Struthio camelus: one gene and its partners. The protein of the gene in region 3 purifies or fractionates together with the protein of the main gene of each other region. This does not show direct contact. Links are inferred from orthologs where the notes say so. Each region holds a gene or a part of one and is shown on either strand. Other genes may lie near its edges. The genes, in order: OSGEP, NUP43, TP53RK and GON7.

Region 1 (7,284 bases), on a different chromosome or scaffold from region 3:
CCCCCCGGGTGCGGGACGCCTGGGTCCGTCAGGTCTTCGAGGGCCGGCGTTTCGGGTCTCCCCCGGACGCCTGGGCCCCTTCCCCGGAGACCTGGGTCCCCTCATCCGGACGCCTGGGCCCCTCCCCGGACGCCTGGGCCCCTTCCCGGACACCTGGGCCCCTCCCCGGACGCCTGGGCCCCTTCCCCGGACGCCTGGGCCCCTCCCTGGACGCCTGGGTCCCTTCCCGGACACCTGGGCCCCTTCCCCGGACACCTGGGCCCCTTCCCCCGGACGCCTGGGTCCCTTCCCGGACGCCTGGGTCCCTTCCCCAGACGCCTGGGTCCCTTCCCCAGACGCCTGGGTCCCTTCCCCGGACACCTGGGCCCCTCCCGGACGCCTGGGCCCCCTCCCCGGATGCCTGGGCCCCTTCCCCCGGACGCCTGGGCCCCTCCCCGGACGCCTGGGCCCCCCCCGGACACCTGGGCCCCTTCCCCGGACACCTGGGCCCCTCCCCCGGGCGCCTGGGCCCCTTCCCTGGACGCTGGGGCCCCTCCCGGACGCCTGGGCCCCCTCCCGGACGCCGGGGCCCCTCCCGGACGCCTGGGCCCCCTCCCAGACGCCTGGGCCCCTCCCGGACGCCGGGGCCCCTCCCCGGACGCCTGGGCCCCTTCCCTGGACGCCTGGGCCCCTTCCCGGACGCCTGGGCCCCTTCCCCGGACGCCTGGGCCCCCTCCCGGACGCCTGGGTCCCTCCCCCGGACACCTGGGCCCCTCCCCGGACACCTGGGCCCCTCCCCGGACACCTGGGCCCCTCCCCGGACGCCTGGGCCCCTTCCCCGGACGCCTGGGCCCCCTCCCCGGACACCTGGGCCCCCTCCCCGGACGCCTGGGCCCCTTCCCCGGACACCTGGGCCCCCTCCCCGGACGCCGGGGCCCCTCCCCGGACACCTGGGCCCCTCCCCGGACGCCTGGGCCCCTTCCCCGGACACCTGGGCCCCCTCCCCGGACGCCGGGGCCCCTTCCCCGGACACCTGGGCCCCCTCCCCGGACGCCTGGGCCCCTCCCGGACACCTGGGCCCCCTCCCCGGACGCCTGGGCCCCTCCCGGACACCTGGGTCCCCTTCCCCCGGACCCCTGGGCCCCCCCCCGGACGCCGGGGCCCCTCCCGGACGCCGGGGCCCCACCTGCAGGCCCTGCTTGCGCACCCAGGCGCGGAGGCCGTCGACGTTCCAGGACGTCACCTTGAGGGTGAAGCGCTGCCCCCCCGGCGCCGTCAGCCGGTCGGGGGGGTCCTCGTAGGGGGCCGCCGCCGCCCCCCCGTCGCCCCGCGCCGCCTTCGGGGGGCGCCCGCCTGCCGGGGGGGGCGCGCCGCCGTCACTGGGGGGCACTGGGAGGGACTGGGGGGGCACTGGGGGGCACTGGGAGGGCGCTGGGGGGCACTGGGAGGCACTGGGAGGGATTGGAAGGGCACTGGGGGGCACTGGGAGGGACTGGGGGGGCACTGGGAGGGATTGGAAGGGCGCTGGGGGGCACTGGGGGGCACTGGGAGGGATTGGAAGGGCACTGGGGGGCACTGGGAGGGACTGGGGGGGCACTGGGAGGGATTGGGAGGGCGCTGGGGGGCACTGGGAGGCACTGGGAGGGATTGGAAGGGCACTGGGGGGCACTGGGAGGGACTGGGGGGTACTGGGAGGGATTGGGAGGGCGCTGGGGGGCACTGGGAGGCACTGGGAGGGATTGGAAGGGCACTGGGGGGCACTGGGAGGGACTGGGGGGTACTGGGAGGGATTGGGAGGGCGCTGGGGGGCACTGGGAGGCACTGGGAGGGACTGGGAGGGATTGGAAGGGCACTGGGGGGCACTGGGAGGGACTGGGGGGTACTGGGAGGGATTGGGAGGGCGCTGGGGGGCACTGGGAGGCACTGGGGGGCACTGGGAGGGACTGGGAGGCACTGGGAGGGATTGGAAGGGCACTGGGAGGGCACTAGGAGGGACTGGGAGGGACTGGGAAGCACGGGGAGAGACTAGAAGGGATTGTAAGGGCACTGGGAGGGCACTGGGAGGGACTGGGAGGGACTGGGAGGGACTGGGGGGCTACTGGGGGCACTGGGAGAGCATGGGGGGCTACTGGGAGCACTGGGGGGGCTACTGGGAGCACTGGGAGAGCACTGGGGGCACTGGGAGAGCACTGGGAGGTACTGGGAGGCAGTGGGGGGTACTGGGAGCACTGGGAGAGCACTGGGAGGGACTGGGGGGCTACTGGGGGGACTGGGAGGTACTGGGAGGCACTGGGGGGGCTACTGGGGGCACTGGTAGAGCACTGGGAGGCACAGGGAGGCAGTGGGGGGCTACTGGGGGCACTGGGAGAGCACTGGGAGACAGTGGGGGGCAGTGGGGGGGCTACTGGGAGCACTGGGAGGCTACTGGGGGCACTGGGAGGCTACTGGGGGCTACTGGGAGGCACTGGGGGGGCTACTGGGAGCACTGGGAGAGCACTGGGAGGGACTGGGGGTGCTACTGGGAGCACTGGGAGAGCACGGGGGCTACTGGGAGGCAGTGGGGGGCTACTGGGAGCACTGGGAGAGCACTAGGAGGTACTGGGAGGCACTGGGAGCACTGGGAGGCACTGGGAGAAAACTGGGAGGCACTGGGAGAGCACTGGGGGCTACTGGGAGCACTGGGAGGCACTGGGAGAGCACTGGGGGCTACAGGGAGAGCACTGGGAGCACTGGGAGAAAACTGGGAGGCACTGGGAGAGCACTGGGAGGCACTGGGGGGGCTACTGGGAGCACTGGGAGGCACTGGGAGGCACTGGGAGGCACTGGGAGAGCACGGGGAGGCACTGGGGGGGGCTACTGGGAGCACTGGGAGAGCACTGGGAGACAGTGGGGGGCTACTGGGGGCACTGGGAGAGCACTGTGAGGGACTGGGAGGCACTGGGAGGGACTGGGGGGGCTACTGGGAGCACTGGGAGAGCACGGGGGCCTACTGGGAGCACTGGGGGGGCTACTGGGAGCACTGGGAGAGCACTGGGAGGGACTGGGAGGGACTGGGGGGGCTACTGGGGGCACTGGGAGGGACTGGGAGGTACTGGGAGGCACTGGGGGGGCTACTGGGAGTACTGGGAGCACTGGGAGAGCACTGGGAGGCACTGGGGGGGCTACTGGGAGCACTGGGAGAGCACTGGGAGGTACTGGGGGCACTGGGGGGGCTACTGGGAGCACTGGGAGAGCACGGGGGGCTACTGGGAGTACTGGGAGGAACTGGGAGGTACTGGGAGGCACTGGGAGGGCTACTGGGAGCACTGGGAGAGCACTGGGAGGCACTGGGGGGCTACTGGGAGCACTGGGAGAGCACTGGGAGGCACTGGGGCCACTGGGGGGGCTACTGGGAGCACTGGGAGGGGGGTGGGGGGGCACTGGGATATCGTGGGGGGGGCAGTGGGCGGGGTTACGGGCCGGCGCCGGCCTGTGCCGGGCCGTACTGGTCCATACTGGTCCGTACTGGTTTATACTGGTCTATACTGGTCCCTACCGGTCTCCGCCGCCGCCTCCTCGCCGCCATCTCCGTCCGCCGCCGCCTCCTTCTTGCTGCGCTTCGGCATGGCCGCCGCCAGGCCCCGCCCCCTCCGCCCCAGGCCCCGCCCCCACATCCGCAGCCAATCAGCGCCCGCCGCCGCAGCCAATCAGCGCGCGCCGCCGGCCGCTGCTCCCTCCTCCTCCTCCCCCCGCCCACCCCCGCCCCGCTCCAGCCAATCAGCGCGCACCGCCGGCCGCTGCTCCCTCCTCCGCCTCCCCCCGCCCACCCCCGCCCCGCTCCAGCCAATCAGCGCGCACCGCCGGCCGCTGCTCCCTCCTCCGCCTCCCCCCGCCCACCCCCGCCCCGCTCCAGCCAATCAGCGCGCGCCGCCGGCCGCTGCTCCCTCCTCCTCCTCCCCCCGCCCACCCCCGCCCCGCTCCAGCCAATCAGCGCGCGCCGCCGGCCGCTGCTCCCTCCTCCTCCTCCCCCCGCCCACCCCCGCCCCGCTCCAGCCAATCAGCGCGCACCGCCGGCCGCTGCTCCCTCCTCCTCCTCCCCCCGCCCCCCTCCGCCCCGCTCCAGCCAATCAGCGCGCGCCGCCGGCCGCTGCTCCCTCCTCCTCCTCCCCCCGCCCACCCCCGCCCCGCTCCAGCCAATCCGCGCGCGCCGCCGCTTCCCCCTCCCCGCGCGCCGCTTCCCCAACCAATCAGCGCGCGCCGGATCTACGTGAGCGGAAGGGGCGGGACCCGCGGGGGCCGGAAGCGGAAGTAGGAAGCGGCGGCGGCGGCGGCGGCGGCGCGGGGAGAGGAGCGCGGGCAGTGACGCGGGCGGTGACGCGGGCGGTGACGTCATGCCGGTGGTGCTGGGGCTGGAGGGCTCGGCCAACAAGGTGGGGGCGGGGCTGGTGCGCGACGGGGCGGTGCTGAGCAACCCGCGCGCCACCTACGTCACCGCGCCCGGCCACGGTGAGCGCCCGCGTCACTTCCGCCCTCCTCCCCCTTCCCCGCGCGCGCCGTGACGTCACTTCCGCCCTTCCCCCCCTCCTCCACGAGCTCACCGCTCTTTGACGTCACGGCCTTCCCTCCCCCCCCCACCCCAGTGACGTCACCGCTCGGGGGGGGTGAGGGCAGCGCTGACCCTCGCGTGACCCCTGACCCCCCGTGACCCCCGGGTGACCCCTGACCTCCCCCCGTGACCACTGACCCCCCTGGGTGACCCCTGAATGACCGCTGACCTCCCCCCGTGACCCCTGACCCCCCTGGTGACCTCCGAATGACCCCTGACCCCCCCCGTGACCCCTGACCCCAGGTGACCTCTGAATGACCCCTGACCCCCCCGGTTGACCCCTGACCCCCCCCGGGTGACCCCTGAATGACCCCTGACCTCCCTCTGTGACCCCCGTGACCCCGAGGCGACCCCCGACCCCCCCCGGGTGACCCCTGAATGACCCCCGACCTCCCCCCGTGACCCCTGACCCCCCCGGGCGACCCCCTCCCGCTCCCCCCCCTCCGCGTGACCCCGCCGTGACCCCCGACCCCTGGGTGACCCCCCCCCCCCCGCGCAGGCTTCGCCCCGGGGGCGGCGGCGCGGCACCACCGGCGGCGGCTGCCGGGGCTGGTGGCGGCGGCGCTGCGGGAGGCCGGGCTGCGGGCGGCCGACGTCGACGCCGTGGCCTTCACCCGCGGTGCGTGTCCTTGGCGTGCGCTTAGCGTGTGCTTAGCGTGTGCGTGCCGTGTGCGTCCCCGGGGCCCTGGGAGCACTCGGAGACGTGTCCTGGGTGGGTGGGAGTCATTGGGGGTCATGTAGGCCCGATCGGGGTCGCGTGTGCTTAGCGTGTGCTTAGCGTGTGCTTAGCGTGTGCGTGCCGTGTGCGTCCCCGGGGCCCTGGGAGCACTTGGAGACGTGTCCCGGGTGGGGGGGAGGTGGGTGGGAGTCACTGGGGGTCATGTAGGCCCAATCGGGGTCGTGTGTGCTTAGCGTGTGCTTAGCGTGTGCACTCAGCACTCCTCGTGGGGGCCATATTAGTGGTTATAGCCACATCCCAAGCGCACGGGAGGCGCGTGGGGGTCGTGGGGGGCCCCAGAGGCGTGATAGGGTTCACATGTGCTTAGCATGTGCTTAGCGTGTGCGCTCAGCACTCCTCCCAGGGGCCTTATCGATGGTTATAGCCGCATCCCAAGCGCACGGGAGGCGCGTGGGGGTCGTGGGGGGCCCCAGAGGCGTGATAGGGTTCACATGTGCTTAGCATGTGCTTAGCGTGTGCGCTCAGCACTCCTCGTGGGGGCCATATTAGTGGCTATAGCCGCGTCCCAAGCGCACGGGAGGCGCGTGGGGGTCGTGGGGGGCCCCAGAGGCGTGATAGTGTTCACATGTACTTAGCATGTGCTTAGCGTGTGCGCTCAGCACTCCTCCCAGGGGCCTTATCGGTGGCTATAGCCGCATCCCAAGCGCACGGGAGGCGCGTGGGGGTCGTGGGGGGCCCCAGAGGTGTGATAGGGTTCACATGTGCTTAGCATGTGCTTAGCGTGTGCGCTCAGCACTCCTCGTGGGGGCCATATTAGTGGTTATAGCCACGTCCCAAGTGCACGGGAGGCGCGTGGGGGTCGTGGGGGGCCCCAGAGGCGCGATAGGGTTCACATGTGCTTAGCATGTGCTTAGCGTGTGCGCTCAGCACTCCTCGTGGAGGCCATATTAGTGGCTATAGCCGCGTCCCAAGCGCACGGGAGGCGCGTGGGGGTCGTGGGGGGCCCCAGAGGCGCGATAGGGCTCACGTGTGCTTAGCATGTGCTTAGCGTGTGCGCTCAGCACTCCTCGTGGGGGCCATATTAGTGGTTATAGCCACGTCCCAAGCGCACGGGAGGCGCGTGGGGGTCGTGGGGGGCCCCAGAGGCGTGATAGGGTTCACATGTGCTTAGCATGTGCTTAGCGTGTGTGCTCCGCACTCCTCCTAGGGGCCTTATCGGTGGTTATAGCCGCATCCCAAGCGCACGGGACGGGCGTGGGGGTCATGGGGGGCCCCAGAGGCTCGATAGGGCTCACATGTGCTTAGCATGTGCTTAGCGTGTGCGCTCAGCACTCCTCGTGGGGGCCATATTAGTGGCTATAGCCGCATCCCAAGCGCACGGGAGGCGCGTGGGGGTCGTGGGGGGCCCCAGAGGCGTGATAGGGTTCACATGTGCTTAGCATGTGCTTAGCGTGTGCGCTCAGCACTCCTCCCAGGGGCCTTATCGGTGGTTATAGCCGCGTCCCAAGCGCACGGGAGGCGCGTGGGGGTCATGGGGGGGCACGAGGGGGCTGACGTGTGCTTAGCGTGCGCGGGGCGCAGGGCCGGGCATGGGGGCGCCGCTGGCGGTGGTGGCGGCGGCGGCCCGGACGCTGGCGCAGCTGTGGGACCGGCCGCTGCTGGGGGTGAACCACTGCGTGGGGCACATCGAGATGGGGCGGCTGGTGTGCGGGGCCCGCGACCCCCTCGTGCTCTACGTCAGCGGCGGCAACACGCAGGTACACGGCTCGGGGCGACACGCGTGTTCGGGGGGGGGGGGGACACGGAGCCCCCGGGCCGAACGCTGAACTCTCGCTCTCCGTCTGCCGGCAGGTGATCGCCTTCGCCCGGCGCCGCTACCGCATCCTGGGCGAGACCTTGGACGTGGCCGTGGGCAACTGCCTGGACCGCTTCGCTCGCGCCCTGCAGGTGCCCGGACGCCTGGGCCCCCTGGACCGGACGCCTGGGTTCCTGCCCCGGATACCTGGGTTCCTGCCCCGGACGCCTGGGTCCCTGCCCCGGA
Region 2 (7,519 bases), on a different chromosome or scaffold from region 3:
ATATATATATGTGTATGTATTTGATACACTCTCTTCAAGGAGTTACCACATGAAAAAAAGCAAACGCTCACAGCACACTAGCTGCATCGAATAAATAAGTTCTCTTCAAAAATAAATCAGGCCATCTAGTCTTAAGGAAAAAGAATAAAGCAGAAACAAACACATACAGAAGCTCTTAGGAAAGAGAGCTTCGACTACAAACTTGGGCAGACGCCCGTTTTCAAACAAAGCCTGGCAAACATCAGTAAGAGAGAGCAGAGGCAAGCCCCTCGGGCTGCGCCCTCCCCTAACACGCAGGGCCGTCTCCGCAGCGGCCCGGAGCTGCGCTGGCGCCCGGCCTGGGCGATCCTACAGCCCTACAGACCTCCCTCCCCGTAGCCCGGCCCCACCGCCGCCGCTCTCGGCGCTCACAGCCGCGAAGGAGCCCGCTCGGCCCCGCTCTCCCGTTCCAAACGGCAGAGGCTTAACGGGGCTGCGGCGGGGGCGGCGCGGCGCCCCGGCGGAAAGGACGCGCCACGCCCCCGGGCGCGGGGCGCCGCTCCCCGGCCCGCCCGGTACCTCGTTGTCCCAGGAGCCGGTGGCGAAGATGTCGGGCGGCTGCAGCGCGGCGGCGGGCAGGGGCCGCCAGCGGGCCTTGCTGACCTTCTGCGACACGAACTTGGCACACACGTCCTCCATGGCCGGCGCCGCCGCCGCACGCCGGCTCCCGCCGCGCGCCTGGCGCCGCCACTGCTGATTGGCTGTGGCCGCGCGGCGACGGCGAGCGAGGAGGGACAGGATTGCCGAGGGGCGGCGAGCGCGCCCAGGCGGGGCAGGGCTCGCCATAGTAGGCGGGGAGGGGCGGCCCGCGGCCGTTTGTACTGGCAGGGCGGCGCAGGTGCGTTGCGTCGCGTTACCGGCACGGGTAACGGCCGCCTGCTCTAACGGACGCTAAAGGGGAGCGGGTGCGCCTGGGACGCCTTTCTCTTCGCTTTACTAAGCGACAGTGAAGGAAATAACGGTTTCTTAACTCTGCTACTGACTTCCCCAAAAGAGGCACCTGGGTGCGGCCCAGGCCCGAGTCTCGTTGCGCTATGCAGCTGCCTGCGGGAGTTGCATCTCTGCGTTTTGAGAAAACGGGAACCAAACGCTCCGGTGCGGCGCGGCCACCTCTTGGGCTGTGACGGAGAAAGGGAGGAAAACATCCCCCAGCGAGGGCAGTGACCTTAACAACCATCTCTTCGCTCCTGAGGTCCCTCCAGTAAGCGGGCCCGGCTCGGCAAGGAATGCTTTCTTTCCTTCGCCCTTCCACCAATTGCACTGTCTCCACGCTCCTTCTTCCACATTTCCAAAAATACATTGCCAAGAACTGCCTATACCTCACAGGTAATGTCATTGACCTGCCTCAGAGATGCTGTGTTTCCTCCAACCTACTGATGATGTTCCCAGCTCAGAAAAAAAGCATCTTACTGTTTTTCCTTTCACATTTCACTCTTACAAACTCTCATGTCAGGAAAACTGACAATAATTGGGTCAAGGTACATATATCGCACAAACATTATTTACAAAATTGGGTCTGGAAGAAGAAATAAAATGAAAAGTGAGTCTGCAAATGTACTTTGTAGGCTCAGCCAGCCTGGCTTCAGCACATAACATTAAACCTTTGCAAGATCACCAACATTTATTTTCTCAAAATGCACTAAGCAGTATCAATGGCTTTTATATGAACTAATCATCTGTTCTCTAGATTTGTTTTTAAATCACTACTGGTGATGCTCTTCTTTTCCCTCTGTGAAATCCCTAGTGGTGGTGAACTGCAAAAATCCTTCTCGTCCCAAATATTACTTTAATAAGCATAAACACAGGTATATTGTCCTATTTCCTTTATCTATTTCACTTCAGACCTAAATGACTGTGTGGAAAAAAAAAAAAAAAGGTTAGTAGAGGTTAGTTGTAGAGGGAGGTCATTTCAGAGGACTGGACTATCCATTTAACCACTACTCCAAAGTAAAGGACTTTTTCATAGATAGCTTTCTTCTTTTTCAACCTATTTTTTGCAACATCTTTTAAAAGCTACTATCAGCTGTCCAAGGTTTTGTCAGGGGTACTTATTAGCATTAGCAGCAGTGTCATGGTTGAACATTCACCTGTATTGTTGCAGTTTGCCTGCCAGAGTCTTCTGTTCTTGTTATATAGCATTTGTCAGTTCCTCATCAAGCCTGCCGTGCAGTGTTGCAAACCTTTAGATGTGATACCAAATCAGTCATATTATTTTATATGCTTTATGCATCATTTGAACCTCAACTGTGAGGAACGCTTTTTTTTCAGAATTATGCACTGCAGAATCCAACACCGAACTTATTCAAGAGGCTGAGTGCTATTGTGTTCTACCATACTGTAAGCCTCAGAACAGCTTTGTTACGCTGTGCTGTATGTAACATTGTTATTCTACAGTAACCAGTACCTCCGCCACCCTGTATTAAGCCACTAGCAGCAATTGTGCAAGTCACAATGAACTCTAAGGTAAATATTTTGAGCTAATTCTTGTAATAGGTGTGAGAAGGGTCAATAGGTGACCTCCGAATACTGCTACAGACCAAATAACCAAAAGTGGAAGAGCCAGGACAACGCTTTGGAATTACTGAAATGTTTTATTAGGCACATGTGTTTGCTGATTACTCTGCAAGAAAATAAATTTATAATCTTACTGTGTGTATTTTTTCTCCTTTGCTCTGGGGCAGTTTCATTCTTTGAACAGGGTTGATTTATCAAAAGCATTTGGAAAGTATGAAGGAGAGTAGGCTGGCCATACAGGCCATTTTCGTTAGGGCAAGAAAATCCTGAGTTTTCTTTCCTGTCTTACCTTTTTAAGAAGTATTTTGGCAGCATGCTATGTGATGGAGTTGGGAGCTATGATGGATTTAGGACTGCTCTATAATACCTTTCAATATCTTATGTTCTCTATATTTGATCATTGTGAAAGATATGTATTGTGTTGATATGTTGTTTCAGTGTAATAGCAGATTTAAATAAACAAAAGGAGGAAACAAAGCCTGAGGAGAAAGTATAACTCACCAAATATTTCTAAGGTTGCCAAAAGGGGATTTAAAGTCTAGACAAAGCTAACTGTGGGCATTAGATCCAAATATATTAGCTGAAACAAGAAGAAGCTTCTAAGGGTTATCCTTAAATGTGACTTAAGTTATGAGAGTGAGTGGAAGGGAGGAAAACACCCTTCTCTGCCAGAGGTTAGAGAGCCTGGGAATGAATGGACTTATTGGATTAGTGGCTGTACAAGGGCAGGATAAACCTAATTATGCATCTTCTGAAGATGCTGTTTACTTCTAATATACTTTGCTCCAATTATCATTCAGCAATACTTTAAGAAAGCTATTTGGAGACACTGTATTTATCGCTGGTCACAACTCCTAGTGTTGTGCTCAGTTCAGTCTGTTGAGCAAGCACAGCTGATATGCAGGATGCTGCAGGGCTGACACAAAAGCCGAGTGCCAGGGCCATGAGTGTACCCGCTCCTTGCCCTGACCAGCCCTATCTGGGACCCCCACCTGACCTGTGGCACCCACTCCTGCACTGAGTGATGTTGCAGGAGGGCCTGTGGACCTGTGCCCATGACTTGGTGACTGGCTTGATTTGGGGCCTGACTCGTCACTTTGCTTTTGTGTGCTGGCAGAACCATGATTGTCCTCAACCCTGGCTCTCCTTGCCTTGCTCAGATGCTGTGGGACTGCACCCTGTGGTGGGGTGTCATCCTCCCTGGCTCTAGCATCCTCTTCCCCCATGGAGCAGCCCCACTCCTGCTGCTCCCTGGCACTGAGAGACTCTGATGTGCCTGAGTCCTTTTCACCTCCCACTGGAGCTGGAGCTGCGGAGAGGGGGATGCAGACTTCAGAAAATCCTAGATGTAAACTTCTGAAATGGAAGTACAAAATGAAGGTACACACCAGGCTGGCTTGAGATTGCAGGAAAAGAGATGAAATGAAGGGGAGTGATTAAGTTAAAAACAGAACAGAGGCACAGAGAGGAGTGAGTGTAGGTGTAGAAGATGGTTAGTGTGTACTTTGGGACATAACTGTGGAAATGCTCAGTGCACGAGGACATTTCTGCTTGTGAAAAGTATATGCAGAAGCAGATGGGATCAGGCAGTGATGACCAGAGTTTCATATGCTTTTTAAATTAAAAGAATTTTAAAATTCTAATGGGTTCAGGGGGTGGGAGGGAAGCATTAAACAGAAACAGTAGCAGGGAGGGGTTTACATATAAATGTATATAAATACAGCTAAGGGATTCAGATGTGGGTGAATGTGTAGAAAAAGAGAGAGAGCTGAGATCTGCTGTGTACTTAAAATTACTGGAATCACCACATTAAAACAATTAAGTGATTGTCTGCTTTGGCTGTTAGCATTCCCATGCCTCTTCCCTTACTGGCCAGTCCACACACCAGCTCTTTGTGACCAACATCCACAGTACTGGAGAATCTATGAAGACGGCTGTACTTACACAAGATGGAGGTACCTGCAATTGGCAGCGGGCCTCGGGAACCAAGGCACTCAAACTGGCTTGCACAGGTGAGGGGAAGAAGATAAAGAAATGCTGGGTGTAAGAGCAGATAGAGAGGTTTCACGGAACTAAACGTATCTAAAAAACATCTCTTTTTAAAGTTTGTCTTCCAACATAGCACAGAATGTTTGTGGTTTTTTCAGAGGATTATCTTACTACAGATGTTTTTAATAAGTTAAAAAGGGGACTCACGGCCTAGGGTCATAGAGCAGAAAGAGTTAGTGACCTTCATGTTTGTTTATTGCACAGATGGGTGCATCCTGATGCTATTGGTGTGCTTCAGTTTCTCAGGTGCCTTTACGGCAAATTGACTTGTCTTAAAGCTCCTAGGAACCAGCAGAGCCAAACACCATTTATTTCACAGGTGCCTGGTAACCATCCAAGCTACCCCAGATTTCATTTTGGATGGCCCATGCTTGTGTTCTTCTCTCTCTCTGAACAGTCATGCCAAGAACATAGCCAATAGGCAGCCAGTGGCACAACTGGTTTGAAAGCTTTTGCGCAATTCTGCATGTTCCTAGCAAACAAAGGTGGGCTTTTTCTCTGTGCTCTGTGACAGGCTTCATTCTAATTTGAGCTGGTCCTGGTAAGAAGAGTCAGTTTGTATGTAAATGTTTTCTCTTGTGTTTTGGTCTCCCAATGGGTAAGTATCCCTGGAATGCTTTTAAGTATAGGCCAACTCATTTATTGCCAGCAGCCTCTCTATGTGGGAGTAATGCAGTTTGCTTGCATCTGACAACAGAAGATGTCTTTTGCATTTAAAACTATTAAGTATTTTTGTGTGTTTTTACAATGTCTGCTTATTCTCTGTGCTTGCTGGCCTTTGGGAATTCCTTTAACTCCATGACTTCCTTCCTTCTCTCCTGGCCCCCTAGATACCAGAGGAAAGACCTCTATGTATGGTGGGACAGGCTGGGAATCTCGCATGGAACATAGAGTAGCCCCCAAATCATGCTTGGGAGAAAATGGATAGAGAATACAGAATGAAGCAGGGGATCAGTCTCCACGATTAGAAGAACCAGATGGAAGAGGTCTGGGAAGTCTGTGGATGGGAGCTGGTGTGTATATGGGACAACTGCCAGATTTGCTCTAGATAAGGTCCTAGCTGGAAAAGCAGATTCCCACCTCCGCCTTATTCCCTTCACTGCGACTAACAATCATGAGATGAAGCATGTGTGTGGTGAGCAGTTGGAAGAGGCTTATCTCTCCCAGGATGGATTCTCTCACAGAAGATATTATCTGTATCTTCCATACAGGCTGCATGTGTCCTTTGATGTTGAATTTAGCTGCTCTTAGTCTTCTGCAGAAAGATGTAGTCCCATTACTAGGCGCACAGCTGTTTTCAGAAGCCGCTGTGACAGGATGGCGACCTCCAGAAACATGGTTACACTTTAATACATCCACGGGTTGCTGAGACGTATCTCTTACCGCCTGTGACGTTGGAACCATGATTCCCCAAACAAGGTGGCTGACCAGCCCTGCTGAGACCATTGTGCTGCTTGCTCTCCTTAGCGGCAAATTTACCACTAAGCGGTAGACTCTTTTAGTGGCAAAAAGAGTTTGTGATTGAGCTCTTGGAATCCATTATCTGCCTTGTGGCAGGTAACAGGGCTGTACATGTGCAGCTGGGGTAAGGCCAAAGAGAGTATTATAGGGCCAAGAGACTTTTGGGATCTCAAAGGACATACCTACTGCAGGGAGCATCCTAAGCCTGAGATCATTTGGATACATCTGAGGAAGCTGCAGTTGCCCTGAAGATCATAGCTGGACTTGTACCAAGGAAGACATCTGCATTACAGCAGCCCTCAGGAATGTCTTTAAGGAACAATACAATCTTTGAATTTATATCTGTCGGAGGATATGTTGTTCTCACTCTCCTTCACTGAAAGGATATAAGCTGCGTTATTTTTATCTGGCCATGACAGCATATTAAGTGCATAGCTTTCTAGCTGTTAATGAACCCCTATATACAATATTTAATTTGATGATAATTTTCCACATCAGCACATTATATCATCTGTATTCTAGGATTTTGCTCATCAGTAATCCTAAAGATAATATACCACTCCCTCTTACAATCTCTTTGGTAAGAGGACCCCTTTACCTTATTGCTCAGATAACTTATGCAAGTGTAGTTTAGACATTTGCTATTTCGGATTTTACAAGCTACCCTGGCCCTCCTTTCACACCAGTATCAAGTGGAGAAGCTCATCTTTTATGCTTAAAATGCCTTGCATTTGCCTTCCCAGATTGCTGCAAATCTCTATTACAGCTCTACCAAGCTGTTTCAGCTGAAACACTCACCCTCGATACCAGCTACATGTGCTTGGAGCACTGCAATTGGTTTGGCTACTGTGAGTCACTGGGGAAAGAGTTCAGGTGGCCTGGGCAGGTACCTTAACTCATTTCTTATTTTTCAGGAGAGTTCTAGAGTTTGGCTGAAGATCTTACCCAAGACATGAAGTTATCACAGTTATAGCTGTAACTGTGCAGTAATTGTACTGAATACAGAAAGTGATTCCAAAAGAGAATTTTCTTGAGAAGGGGAAAACATTCTTCAGAAGATAAACTGAATGAACACTGAAAGCCTGGGGGCTCACTATGACAGTATCAATGGATTTTTCTTGTACAGTAAGTCAGGAAAGAAGTCGACTGGAAATCTCCCTAAAAAGCACAGGACAAGTCTAAGTATGCACATAGGTAGCTTGAAATACTACTTTTCTCTAATGTTTCATACTACATATTATTGACATGGCCAGAGTTTTTATAGTTACACATCACTATTCTCATGTTTCAAGAGGGTAGACTGGAAACTGTTGTCTGGTAATAGGTAGATGATGCAACTATAGTGTTGCACCTGGTTCAGAGCACGGCAAAATTGCAGTCTCCGGTGTGTGACTGCCTGAGAAAGTTCACTCACAGAGACCAGAAGGGGGCATAAATGTGAGAGTTCCAGCATTGA
Region 3 (5,882 bases):
GAAGTTTCTCAGCGGAGAACTGCTCTTGTTTTATTATTTCTATATTTGCTTAATGAAAGAATATCAAAAGTTACAAAAGCCAAAATTACTACTGAAAAAAATGGACCTGTCTTATTTTTATCTCCATTTCAGCTGTTGTCCATGTCTTGGAATTCACAGTCCTCCTGAGAAGTTTCAGGAGGAGGTAGAGAGTCATTTATAATGAATTTAAAGCTAAGCTTCACAGTAAGTCTTCTGAGAAAAAGAACAGGCTTCTTTTTCTCTAGTTACCTTCTGTAGATGTCTTGGTATCTCCAGGTCCCTTTTACCTGCCACAAATCTACAGTCCACAGGCTAAAAAGATACTCAGTATGATTCTATCTACACAAAAGAGGGCCAGTAGAATGACATTGAAAGCTACTTTTTAAAAGAAATATTTAACCTTTAAAAAAAAGAAGTAACCTTTAGCTGTTTCTTTCTTGCCTGTGCTCTCATCTCACATAATTACTTTGGTTACTGTATGACTCTGCTAAGAACTACACAAAGATTATTGCCACACTGTAGTAAATTTATTTAAGACACAGACTTATCAAAATAGCGATATGTGAAATAAAACCAACTGGAAGTACAAATAAACATATATGCAGAACCTAAGTAGTAATATTTCTCCATCACTAAGCCTGCTCTTTTCTAGCCAACCATGGATCTCTTTCTTCCCCTTAACCGTACTTCATCCAGCTTTTTGACAACAGGACCAGATTTTTTGGATGTAGCTGCGTAAGTCTTCAGTAGAGTTTGGAACACAGTTTCTGTATCGGGATGAGTACTAAGAAAGGCCTTTTCCAGAACATACAAATCAACTCCTTTATCCTCAGGAAGACCTGAAACAAAACTGAGTCCAAAGTCTATCAACACCAAGTCCAGCTTCTCCATGGGTGGTCGCAGAAGAATATTACAAGTTGTAAGATCCCCATGTATAAGGTCTTCATCGTGCATTCTTGCCAAGAGCTCACCTAACTTCTCTGCTAGGGGAAGGAGGCTACTGGAATCATTTCCACATTGCTGTACAGAAGCAATATGATCTCGAACTGTAACCGAGTCTACGATATCTTCAAGATATATGCAGTTGGTGACATAATCCACAAAGTAGACCACCGGTGCAGGAATCCCTATTTAAAAAAAGGACAAATTAAACGTTAAGTGTTAACTTATAGGAACTTCCAACTTTATTAGAACAACAAAACACAGTCAACGCGACCCTTAACCGAAAAACGCCAGATTCAGATCACCCCTGGCCACCGATAACCCACTTCTAGGGCCCTCCTCTGCCAAACCCCACCTCCCAGGCCACGCTGCCCTCGCCTCCGTCCTTAAATCCCCTCGGGAGCCCCAGCCCGACCACGGCGCCGGCCACCGCGGCCCTCGGCGGCTGCAAAGCCTGCGCTGGGCCTAGGCCGGGCTGCGCTTAGGCGGGAGCCCCGGAAAGGCGGCGGGGCAGAGCCGCCGCGCGCCCTCAGGAGAGGCCGAGCCCCGGGGGCCGGGGGGGCGCAGGGGCCCGTCCCCAGAGCGGCGGCCAGGGCCGAGGGGGGCCTGTCGGCTCGGCTCGGCTCGGCCCGGCCCGGCCCGCCGCCCCCGGCCCCACCTGCCCGCCGGCAGCGCAGCAGCGACCGGGCCTCCTGCGCCGTCCGCCGCCGGCTCAGCCGCTCCTCCAGCGCCGGGTGACGGTACCGCTTGGGCAAGCGGAGCTTGGCCACCGCGTCCCGCCCCAGGAAGCGGCCGCGGTACACGCACGCCTCGGCGCCCTGCTGCACCAGCCGCAGCCCCGGCAGCGGCAGCGCCGCCACCTCCTCCTCCGCCTCCCTCCCGGCCGCCGCCGCCTCCGCCATGACAGAGCTCTGCGCCCCGCCCTCCCCGCACACCCCGCACTGCGCAGGCGCGGCGCCGCCTCGGGAACCTTCGGCGGCCGCGGCGGAAACAGCCGAGCGCCCCCCCCCCTCGCCTGCAGCGCTCGCCGGCCGCCGGCGCCCCCGCCACAGCGCGCCCCCGGGTGAGGGGAGCGGCACCCGCCGCCCCGGCGGCAGCAGAGCCGTCCGCCCAGCGCACGTTAGTATTGCTCAGCTGCCCTTGCCCTTGGAGGTGGCCAGAAGCGCGTTTTGTCTTTTGTTTTCCCGCCCGCAGCGTTTGTTTCTCTTCCAGGTTCGGTGTGTTCGCGGGGTGCCCTAGCGAGCGCTCGCCCTCTCGCCGCAGCCGCCCTGGCAGCGGCTCGCCGCAGCGTCGCGGCCGGTGCAACCTGCCGGCAAACGGGCGCCTTCTGCGGCTCCGTGTTTGGCATTTCCCAACACCGCAAGTAGTCAAATAAGCAGAAAACACGTTTTCCCTGCCTTGTGGGCAGGTTTTATCTGAGCAGCCGTGCACAGCCCCCGCAGACTTGCACGCGGCTCACGAGCGAGTGCACCCAGATGCCTTCGGTTCGTTGTTTTGGTAACAACGAACAGGACACTCTTCTCTCACGCTGGCCAAAATCATCCTCCCGAGTTTTCAAAATACAAAAGAAAATATTTTTGTTTTATTTTTCCCAATATTTTATTTATTCAAGTACTATCTTCCCTGTGATTCGATTTATTCTTTTGCGCTTTCAGTGCGGTAAGCGGTTGACATAGCCCTTGGAAACCATCTGGAGCCATTCACAATATTTATGGTATCGCCCAGTATTTTTATTGGACCTCTGAATCACCCCAGAGAATTTCCCTGAAGCCCCAGACTCCCTGGTAAACCGTTTAATTATGTAACTTTGTTCTCCTGGCGACAAGCGTTTACAAACCCTCCTTTCGTAAACAATATAACTGAGTTTAAAATTGCAACGCAGCAAAGCCAGCTCAAGGGAAAGCAATCCTGATCCGGCAGCCGGGGGTGCGGGGGCCCGGGATGCGCCAGGCGTCGCCGCAAGGCTGAGCCGGGACGGTGCCCCTCGGACGTGCGGGGGACCCGGCGAGCGCCCGGAGCACCCCCGCCTGCGCCCCGCGAACCTGAGCCCCGCCGGCTGCCGTGACGGCACTGGGGGTGAGACGGCTGCGACACCCGCGGGACGAATGGAGGTTTATGACCCGTTAGTGAAGGCGGTAGGGAAGGAAAGGAGGAAGCTGTGAAAATGCCCTTATCTTTGCTGACTGGAAGGATGCGCACAGGTTAGCATAAAAGAAAAACGAGAACAGACGAGCCTAATACGAACCAGCGCTCTCAGCTGTAAATCAGCACACTGTAAATGCAGGTGTCCACTGAGCTGGCTTCACCCTACCTAGCTACAACCCTCGCACCCACTCATGTGCTATAATGTTCATCAATAAGTGAATTGAGCTTGGTCCGTTTAGTCTTCTGAATCCCTTCTGGAGGGTGAGTTCTAGTTAGAGAGAACGTGCTCAAGCATGTGACTAGCGTTGCTGAACGCGGTGTCTTCCTTCTTCTAAGGTGGACACCTGTTTCCTCCCATATCTATATTTTCATTTCTGATTTTAAAGTCTCTTTGAGCTGCTCCAGCCCGGCGGTACAGAGTCACATCTTCGTTCCTCACTGAGCCGCGCAGAGCACCTTCAGTCCAGGCCGTGCTGCCAAGCGCAGGCTGCCGCTTCAGGCGCTGAGCCCTCCAGCACACACGTCCTTGCGGCTAGTGCCCGGTGTTTGGTTCAGTTCGAAGCAGGATGGTTCCCTCACGCATCCAAAACCAGAAGCCAAGAGCACGACACGGCTCCGAAGGAGACATGGCCCTGCTGAGACACGAGTGCCGAGAGCGCATGGAAAGCATCAGGGCTGGAGACGCGCAGCAGAGGAGAAGCACGAGCCGCCCGTGTCTGGGAGCGGCCACGGCTCAGCGCCCGGCTCGCTCGGGCGCTGCAGCTCCTCCGAGGGCCGAGATCAGAGCCCAAAGAGCCAAGCTGCTCGCTTCACCCGGCCCAGAGCATGCATTAACTGCAAACCGTACAGTTAGCAAGACAGATGTTACCTACACAACTGCAAAGCAAGACCTTTTTCAAAATTACCCCCGCTGTGCATTGTAAGAGTTTTCCACGGTCCCGTGTCGGAGGGCCATAACCCGGAGCCAGACGCAGTGCCGAGGGCAGCTATATTTCGGTACGTCCTAGTGTAATCTTTTCGGCTGCCTTTTGTAAACATGCCATAAAGCTTTGCTGTATTCCCCAGGACCTCACCTCCTTGCCGTCTTTGCTGATAACATTTACTAGCCAGAGAACAGGAAGCCACCAGGAAACGTAAGGGGTGGCTTCATGCTTGCAGATACACGTATGCAGAGTGAGCATGGAGAATTTTCCTTCTCACCCCACAATCATTTGAGAAGCATTCTAGTAAAACATGCAGGAACTGCTCAGATAAAACGTAGGCTATGTGGGCAAGCCATATACTTACCCAGTGATGCTGAGGGCTGTAGCTGCCCTCCGCCAGCATCCGGTGGTCTCTGGCTCCTTGCTTCATGTGGCAGAGGAGTCAAGCGCAGGTGCCACCTCTTCCAGCTCACACCGTTGTGCACCCAAAATGTCTAGGCTTGTGCTCCGGGGAGGAGTTACAAACCAAAGAGAGCCCTTACCTGAATTTGGGAGGCCAGAGATCATGGGCCAGGACATGCTGTACCCCAAACTGCTGTGCTCTCAAAACTTGGAATATGAGGCCAAGATACAGACCTGTAATGTCTTCTGGCCACTGCAAGCCGGCCTCATAGGTAGAGTCTGTGGGAAGAGAGAAGACGGCAAGCCTTTCCTCCCTCTGAGTGTCATGAGAGCTAACCATGATTTCAGATCTATTTAAACTACTTTAATATTAATTACAAACTCTATTGAAAAGCTCCTTCCTGAAACACCATTAGTTTCTGTTGAAAGTCTTCACGTCTGAAGCCATTCTTCACCTACCGTATGATCCCTGTGCAGCTGCGAGTTTATATTAGATACAAGGTTTTAGAAGCGGTATTTTTTACATACTGTATTACCATTGAAACGGAGGGATATGAATAGGAAGCATTTATTTAATCTGTAAAATACATAGATGATTTGAAACACTCTTAATATATACCATGTCTTTGAGAAGAAACAAAACCAAACCTTTTGATCAACTGCTGTCCATATTGCAGAGCAGATATCCTCCAGCCTAAGGCTGAAAGGACACACACCATCCAGTATTGCCAGTCTCAAGCACCCCAAAGCTATGAGCTGCAGCAAAGAAAGAGGTAGCACCGCTGAGCTCCAGAGCAGAGCCATGGCATGTACCCCATCCCTACATGCCAGAAGAATGAGTCTTCAAATATTTCTCTTAAACTGCCCATTCAGTTAACATGCGGAATGAAAGTTGAAAAGCTCTTTTAAAAATATCACATGCACCCTTCCTTCTTCACCCAACACGTTTACTTTTGTTTGCGTTGGAGGGGTGTGCCGGCACTGCACCCACAGCAGTGATTGTCCACTAGAAAAGAAGAGTTCAAACTCAGTCATGCTGCCCTTTTTTAGGCTTGAAATGATCGATCCTTCCTAGTGGGTATTCTTCGGCTTCCCAGCTGAGCCACCAAAAAACTGTCATAAACTATCAGCCAGCCTCTTGTGGGCTTTCCAAAGGTTTCCAGTCTAGAGGAGTAAAACTCTGTGTCAGGATCGGGTCCGGGGTCAGTGGGGAGAGGTGATTCCTGCCCCCCGCTAAAGTAACATACAGGCAGAGCCTGGGGACAGAGCTGCCATCCCAGCAACACAGGCTGTACCCTGCTGCATCCACATTTTCAGAACAATTACAAGTGTAGCCATGCCCGAGCTCTTTGATGGAACTTTATCAGTCTGTGCAGGCAAATCTAAGCCTGAGTATTTGCGCACACAGCTCCGGACTCAGATGCAGGAGGGCAGCGGGAAGGGCGTTTC
Region 4 (6,082 bases), on a different chromosome or scaffold from region 3:
ATTAATAAGGCTGTGACGTTCACTTTATTTGACTTAGCTGCTGAATCGGCCTAAAAATCAAACTGGTTAAAAGTCAGTGATGAAAAAGGTATATAAAGATTAAATGGTTCTTGAAAAAACAAAGATTGTTTGGAAGAAACAGATGACTAGGATAGACAGCTATGTTTTACTTGTATAATGATATAAAAGATAATTATCCAAGTCGCATTGACTTGTCAGCTTCCTGGCTATCATAAAAATTCAAAATGTTTGGAGACTAAGATTTCCAGCTCTTTCAATCTACTTCTTCTATGACCTTTACCAGGAAAGTACTTCAGTGATGGGTGACTAAAATAAACCTTTTATATTATACGCAGAAACAATCTGCCATCTTTTAGGCTCGTTCAGGAACAGACAGTCACATCTGTGCAAGTGTTTGTAACTTATTTTGAATACTCAAGTGATCTTACACTATTCTCTCTCCATACAAATGATTTCTTTGTCTTATACCATTTAAAAACCATAGCTGACAAAATAACGGGCTTCATATTTTATTATTTTATTTTAAAATAGTTTGGTTTTAAGTCATATGAAGAAATACTGTGATCAGGAGAAGCCATTAAAAGTGTTTCATATCTGTCACCTGGTTTACTGAAAATTCTCAATCTTTTCAGCCTAATATTCGCTTCCTGTAAAAAGCACATTGCTAATGCTAATACACACCCTTTTATTAGGCTTCTTATATTGAAATAGTGACAGTGATCTACATTTCATTTTTAAAACATGAGCAAAAGGAAGAAAAACGCTGACACCTGCCTTGCAAGAACAGTCTGCCCACCCCCGAGGTACCACCCTCCAAAAGAACACTTACATTCAATACTGCTGTAAAGTCTCTTTTTTAGGCCTAAATACAGTCTTTCACGCCATAGTCAGGACTGCTGAACTTTTGTCCGTTTTAGAGGTGGGCCATCTGCATTTGCTTTCACGTCAACGTTGTTTTCATCTTCATCTTCATCTCCTTCCTCCTCCTCCTCCTCCTCTTCCCCAACATCACCTACCAGGGTTCAAGCAGACAGCGGATGAGGTGTTGAAAAAGGCACACAGCCCCCCTCCAGTAGCACACGGCTGCCCAGAGGGAGGGCGCTGAGGCAGAGGGGGCGCGCGGCGCCCGGCTCGCCGCGCGCCCCCGCCCCGCCCCGCGGCACGCGCCCAACGGCCGCCCGCCACTCACCGCGCGGCCCGCCGCGGCCCCCCGCCTCTCTCTCCTCCTGCACCAGAGGCCCCAGCAGCTCCGCGACCTGCTCCTGCAGCTTCTCGAGCCCCCGCAGCAGCCCCCGCAGCTCGCCGCCCGCGCCCGCCTCCGCCTCGCAGCGCACCCGCAGCGGCCACGTCCGCCCGTCGCGGCCCGTCAGCTCCGCGCGCAGCTCCATCCCGCTGCTGCCGCCGCCGCCGCCGGAGGGGGGGAGGGGGAGGGGGAGGGCGGGCAAGGGGCCGTGACGGGCATCGCCGCCACCCAATCCGCAGCCCGCGCGGGCTGACCCGGAAGCGCTCGCAACCCGCCCGCGAGGCCGCGCATCGCGCGCGCAAGCCCCGCCCCACAGCGCCGCTCACGCAGGCCGCGTGCCACAACACAGCGCCGCGCGGCGGCAGCTGCCTCCGCCCCCCCCCCCCCGCCTCTTTGTGACTCGCCGCCGCGCGCGTCACGTGGGCCGCGCGCGCCGTTGCGGTTGCGGTTCCGCTTCCGCCGCGGCGCCCCCTGGCGCCCGAGACGCGTTTTTCCCGCCTCGGCTTGGCTCGGCCCTCGGCGGCGGCGATGGAGGCGGCGGCGGCGGCGGAGGAGGGCGCCGAGCCCGGGAGCGGCGGGGCGGGGGGCCCGGAGGAGCCCGTGGTGTCCCTGGCGGAGGTGTTGGCGGAGAACGAGGAGCTCGAGAAGGAGGCGCGGGCCGTGCTGGGGGGCAGCGACCACGAGCGATGCAGCTACTCCCAGGTGGGGGCGGGGCCGGGCCGGGCCGGGCGCGCGCACCTGGCGCCTCGCGGCGGGGCGGGGCGGGGCCGCGAGGGACCCCCGGGCGGGGGGCGGGGGGCGGCCGGGCTGCGCGGGGCTCGCCGCCCGCAGCGGCCCGGCCCGGCCCGGCCCGGCGCCGCCGTGCCCACGCGCGCCGTTTCGTTGCAGGGCGCCGTGAAGAGGCAGGCGCTGTACGCCTGCAGCACCTGCACCCCGCCGGGCGAGGAGCCGGCGGGCATCTGCCTGGCCTGCAGCTACGAGTGCCACGGCACGCACAAGCTGTTCGAGCTGTACACCAAGAGGTAACGTGCGACCCGCAGCTGGAGGAGCGCTGCTGCCGGGGCTTCGGCCAAACCGCGAAGCGGGACGGCAGAACAGCGAGCGTAGCGCCTCCGCAGACGTCGAGTGCGTCCTCCTCTTAACAAACACCTGTGTCCATCTTGTGCCCTGAAGTACACACAGGCTGCTTGCAACAGGGAAATAAAAAGTAACGCTGAGAGGCACAGAGCAATTTGAGTCTCCCCCTGTGGAAGCAGTACCGTAAGAACTAGGGGTATTGCGTCTTTTCGAATCTACGAAGTTTTTGGTTTCCAGAGTTCATCCCGTGGGTTTTCTTGGGAACTACTGAATGTGCTTGCCACAATTGCTTTTTAAATGCTAAGGCTTATCCTTGCAATTTCGCTTGCAAATCAGGTAATCATTTAAGGTTCATGCAATTATTTAGTGCAACACAAGCATCTCTGACGTGAAATACAGCATTTTCTTTAACAGGGTACTGAAACACAGTGATTTCAACTAATAATTGTCCTCCCCTCTCGTGTTTTCCTTAATGGTCTGAGTACTTCGAAACTCCTTGAAGAATTTTGGTATCTAGATTAATTGTCCAGAGAACAATTTTCCCACAGCGTCCTCTGCTATATATAAAAAAAAAAATTTAAGATGGGTTTTAATGGACCAAAGCAGGACAATGTTTAGATGTGCAACTCATGCTAAGATACCGTGTTTCCAGTAGTATGGAAGTTTGCAAAACTGGGCCGGAAACTTAGGTCAGGTTAATTAAGTAGTCACGTTCCTCCATTCTCTTTAGCTATCCAAGTGTCCCGTGCTATTTTAGTGAGAATTTAGGGTCCTGAATAGGAGATAAGAGCTTAATCGTCTGTGTTGATCTAGCCTAGCCTTTGGAGATGAACCAATTTACACGCTTTTGCCAATACACATGCTTGCCTTTTTGAATGTGGTAGTTGCAGCACCCTCAGTTAGCTGTTCTATTGAGGTCTCTCAGCCAAATGCTGTTGTAAATGATGATGTTAGCTGAGATCTGCCAGAAACACAGCATGAGAGGGTAAGGCCGCAAGGCTCTTTGGCCAGTTCTAACAGATGCTATTGTTTAAATAGCTGCAAGAATATTTTTATGGTTCCTAATAAACTGTTGGGAATTGTTGCAAATACAAAAGTTAATGCATTTTTAGATAATCAATCTGAAATGCTTTGTTTTTCTTTCCAGGAACTTCCGCTGTGACTGTGGAAATAGCAAATTCAAAAATTTGCAGTGCAAGTTACTTCCAGTAAGTTCAGATACAGGTTTTTAGACATACAGAATCAAAATAACAGTTTTAGAAGGTTGTGGTATCTTGCCTTAGAGAGTGCTGACTCATATTGTGCCTCTTCTTCTCCCTGCAAGTTAAATGAGGGGCAACGTTTGAGCTTTGTCACTCTTGGATGCAGCTGCTAGCATACATAGCTAGCTCAATGTTTGAAACAGCGAAAATGCTTTAGCAGGTTGTGATGCCTGTATTGATAACTCTTGCTATCTCTAAGCTGGCTTCAGGAGAATCTTTTTGGGGTATGATTTTACAGTTGCTTTAAGGAAACTTCAGATTGTGCTGAAGGAACATTTCCATCCCCTTTCCTGTGGCAGCGTTAGTGCGCTAATCTTTCTTGATAGGCTGTCACTGGAGTCTTCTGAAGGAGTAGTTTTTTACTGTATTAAGCTCCCTGTAGTTTCATGCTCAGTGGGCAGTTTGGACTCATTAAGTATTTGGTAATGTTCTGGAAAGCAGACAGAGGAAAGAAGCTTTTTGGCTTGCCTGCAGTTCTGTTCCTGAGATGATAATGCTCCAAGTGTAGAAACAGCAAGTGGTTCTGTGTATACCTGTTTGGTCCTGGCAGAATTGGGGCTGATCCAGAGCTAGTAAGCCTAGAGCTGCAGTCAGGTAATCCCTACAGAGTCGCGTGTGGCAATTCTAAGACGTTACTGCTCCTTGTTTGAGTCAGTGAAATGGATCATATGGCTCCTCCTTCTCTTCAGTGCAAAATCAATCTGCTAGTTTAAATGACCTTCAACATCAGTATGTTCAGCTGGCTGACTTCATGGATGAAGTGAGCTCATATCATCTGTTCTTCTTTTAACAGAGTAGTGGTAAAAAGCATTTTATAGCATATAAATTGTCACAGCTGTTTTTGCAAGGGCTGACTGTGGTCTTAGGCTGCAAGTACATACACTTCTGAAGTCCTCCGGCCCCAGCTGTATTAGTTATTTTTTGAAGTGGAATTAGCTGTAACTGAACTTCATTCAGTGTGTTCTGTAATTTGGAACACCCTCTCATATGGAGTGAGGTTTAGATGACATTAATTTAGTGTAAGCTAAACATTAAACAAAACATAACATTAAACAAAATTGAGTTTGGACCACAGTCTGGATGCTTAAAAAAAGAAAGAGCGTGTGGAAGGTGCACAGTAAATGTGCAGACTTTGCTGCAATGGCAACAGCCATGCATGATTGGTGATCAAACCTCAAGGATTTTGTTTGAATAAAAGCTTAGTGGCTAATGGCCTTCTGGAAAGAATTGTGCACATATAAAAGAAATTTAAATTTGGCTCCCAACAGTTATTGTTAAAGAAATATTATGCTCTTAGGCATTTTTAGATGAGCAATAGCTTTAAACAAAACCCACGATAGTTGCCATTTGCTGTTCTGTGTGTGAAAAGACTGTTCTTCGTCTTTCCTTTTGAACTTCAGTACTCCTCACGTGCCCTGTCTTCTGCCGACTGTATAACATAGGGGTCTCAGGGTAATATCTTTGTTTTCAGATGCTCAAGCTGATGAGTGTAATGACCGCTTTTAGGAAGTAAAAATTTTTTTTAGGGTATGCATCTTTCCGGTCTTCTGTTTCTCACTGCATTGCCTATTGAAACAATTTCTCCTTTCTTTCTAGGAAAAGGGCAAAGTGAATTCAGGAAATAAGTATAATGACAATTTCTTTGGATTATACTGTACTTGTAAAAGACCTTATCCCGATCCTGAAGATGAGGTAAGAAATGCAATATGCAGTAACCATGTTCAGAAGGTGTCTATACAAACCACTGTGCAAAGGGTGATCCTCGAGCTGTTTCTTAAGGAAGATCCCACTTTCAGAAATCTTATGATCGATATTATTTTTGACTGTCTTTCACTATATAAAGTAATACATTCTCACTTTCTTTTTAAAAATAGTTAAAACTCTTTATACTTTAAAAACAGAGGAGGAAGACACGCCATCATTCAGACAAAATGGTGGTACACTCATCTCTGCTTTCCTCTCTGTAGAATTATATGGTTCTCTTAGGGAATGGGTTTATCTTGAGAAATCCTACGAACACAGAGAAGTCACTTGATATGAGAGATCAGAATCTGCTTCCTCACGCTTGTGACAGTGCTCTAACAAGACTGCTTCTGGGGTGGGGATGTTTTGTCTTTTAACAGTGGCTTTAGCCTTCCTTTATATCAGTGGAAATGCTGTTTCTCTGTCTGAAGTATTAAAACATGGCACTTGGTTTACGCATAGAAACTTTCCTTTGCAGTTATAAAAGTTAGATGTTAAAAAATGAGTTTGTTAGGAACAGAAAGAATAAGAAAGGCATAAATCCTCCAAATAGGAAAAGACTGTATTAGTATTATTATAAAATATGAACTAATTTCTCCCAAGTTTAGTGAAATCTAAATATTTCTAAAGAAATCATTAATAATTATTTCATAATAAATCAGTTTGTACTAAGTTTGTATTATGGACAGTTAAGTTAGGAATATGGCATTCCTAAATAAAACCTGATGACACTGAG

Evidence for each region.
Region 1: the proteins of TP53RK (region 3) and OSGEP purify together in Homo sapiens (affinity purification with mass spectrometry; 5 studies listed by BioGRID and IntAct, counting the BioPlex papers as one, with this or other methods). This does not show direct contact. The link is inferred for Struthio camelus from reciprocal best matches to the Homo sapiens genes TP53RK and OSGEP.
Region 2: the proteins of TP53RK (region 3) and NUP43 purify together in Homo sapiens (affinity purification with mass spectrometry; 3 studies listed by BioGRID and IntAct, counting the BioPlex papers as one, with this or other methods). This does not show direct contact. The link is inferred for Struthio camelus from reciprocal best matches to the Homo sapiens genes TP53RK and NUP43.
Region 4: the proteins of TP53RK (region 3) and GON7 purify together in Homo sapiens (affinity purification with mass spectrometry; 5 studies listed by BioGRID and IntAct, counting the BioPlex papers as one, with this or other methods). This does not show direct contact. The link is inferred for Struthio camelus from reciprocal best matches to the Homo sapiens genes TP53RK and GON7.

Annotation. Positions count from the first base shown.
Region 1 is NC_090970.1:842,197-849,480, reverse strand, and holds the start of OSGEP (tRNA N6-adenosine threonylcarbamoyltransferase), read left to right. Parts: upstream 1-4,272; 5' UTR 4,273-4,349; coding exon 4,350-4,464; intron 4,465-5,063; coding exon 5,064-5,183; intron 5,184-6,824; coding exon 6,825-7,000; intron 7,001-7,094; coding exon 7,095-7,190; intron 7,191-7,284. Other genes in the region: DNA repair nuclease/redox regulator APEX1, read right to left, coding at 1,166-1,332, 3,515-3,584. UniProt on the Homo sapiens protein: Component of the EKC/KEOPS complex that is required for the formation of a threonylcarbamoyl group on adenosine at position 37 (t(6)A37) in tRNAs that read codons beginning with adenine.
Region 2 is NC_090944.1:82,000,780-82,008,298, reverse strand, and holds the start of NUP43 (nucleoporin Nup43), read right to left. Parts: upstream 3,001-7,519; 5' UTR 826-3,000; coding exon 559-825; intron 1-558. UniProt on the Homo sapiens protein: Component of the Nup107-160 subcomplex of the nuclear pore complex (NPC). The Nup107-160 subcomplex is required for the assembly of a functional NPC.
Region 3 is NC_090959.1:8,360,590-8,366,471, forward strand, and holds TP53RK (EKC/KEOPS complex subunit TP53RK), read right to left. Parts: upstream 1,901-5,882; 5' UTR 1,866-1,900; coding exon 1,622-1,865; intron 1,149-1,621; coding exon 670-1,148; 3' UTR 527-669; downstream 1-526.
Region 4 is NC_090946.1:66,327,038-66,333,119, forward strand, and holds GON7 (EKC/KEOPS complex subunit GON7), read right to left. Parts: upstream 1,444-6,082; 5' UTR 1,410-1,443; coding exon 1,211-1,409; intron 1,034-1,210; coding exon 909-1,033; 3' UTR 523-908; downstream 1-522. Other genes in the region: putative E3 ubiquitin-protein ligase UBR7, read left to right, coding at 1,793-1,966, 2,153-2,286, 3,489-3,549, 5,200-5,295. UniProt on the Homo sapiens protein: Component of the EKC/KEOPS complex that is required for the formation of a threonylcarbamoyl group on adenosine at position 37 (t(6)A37) in tRNAs that read codons beginning with adenine.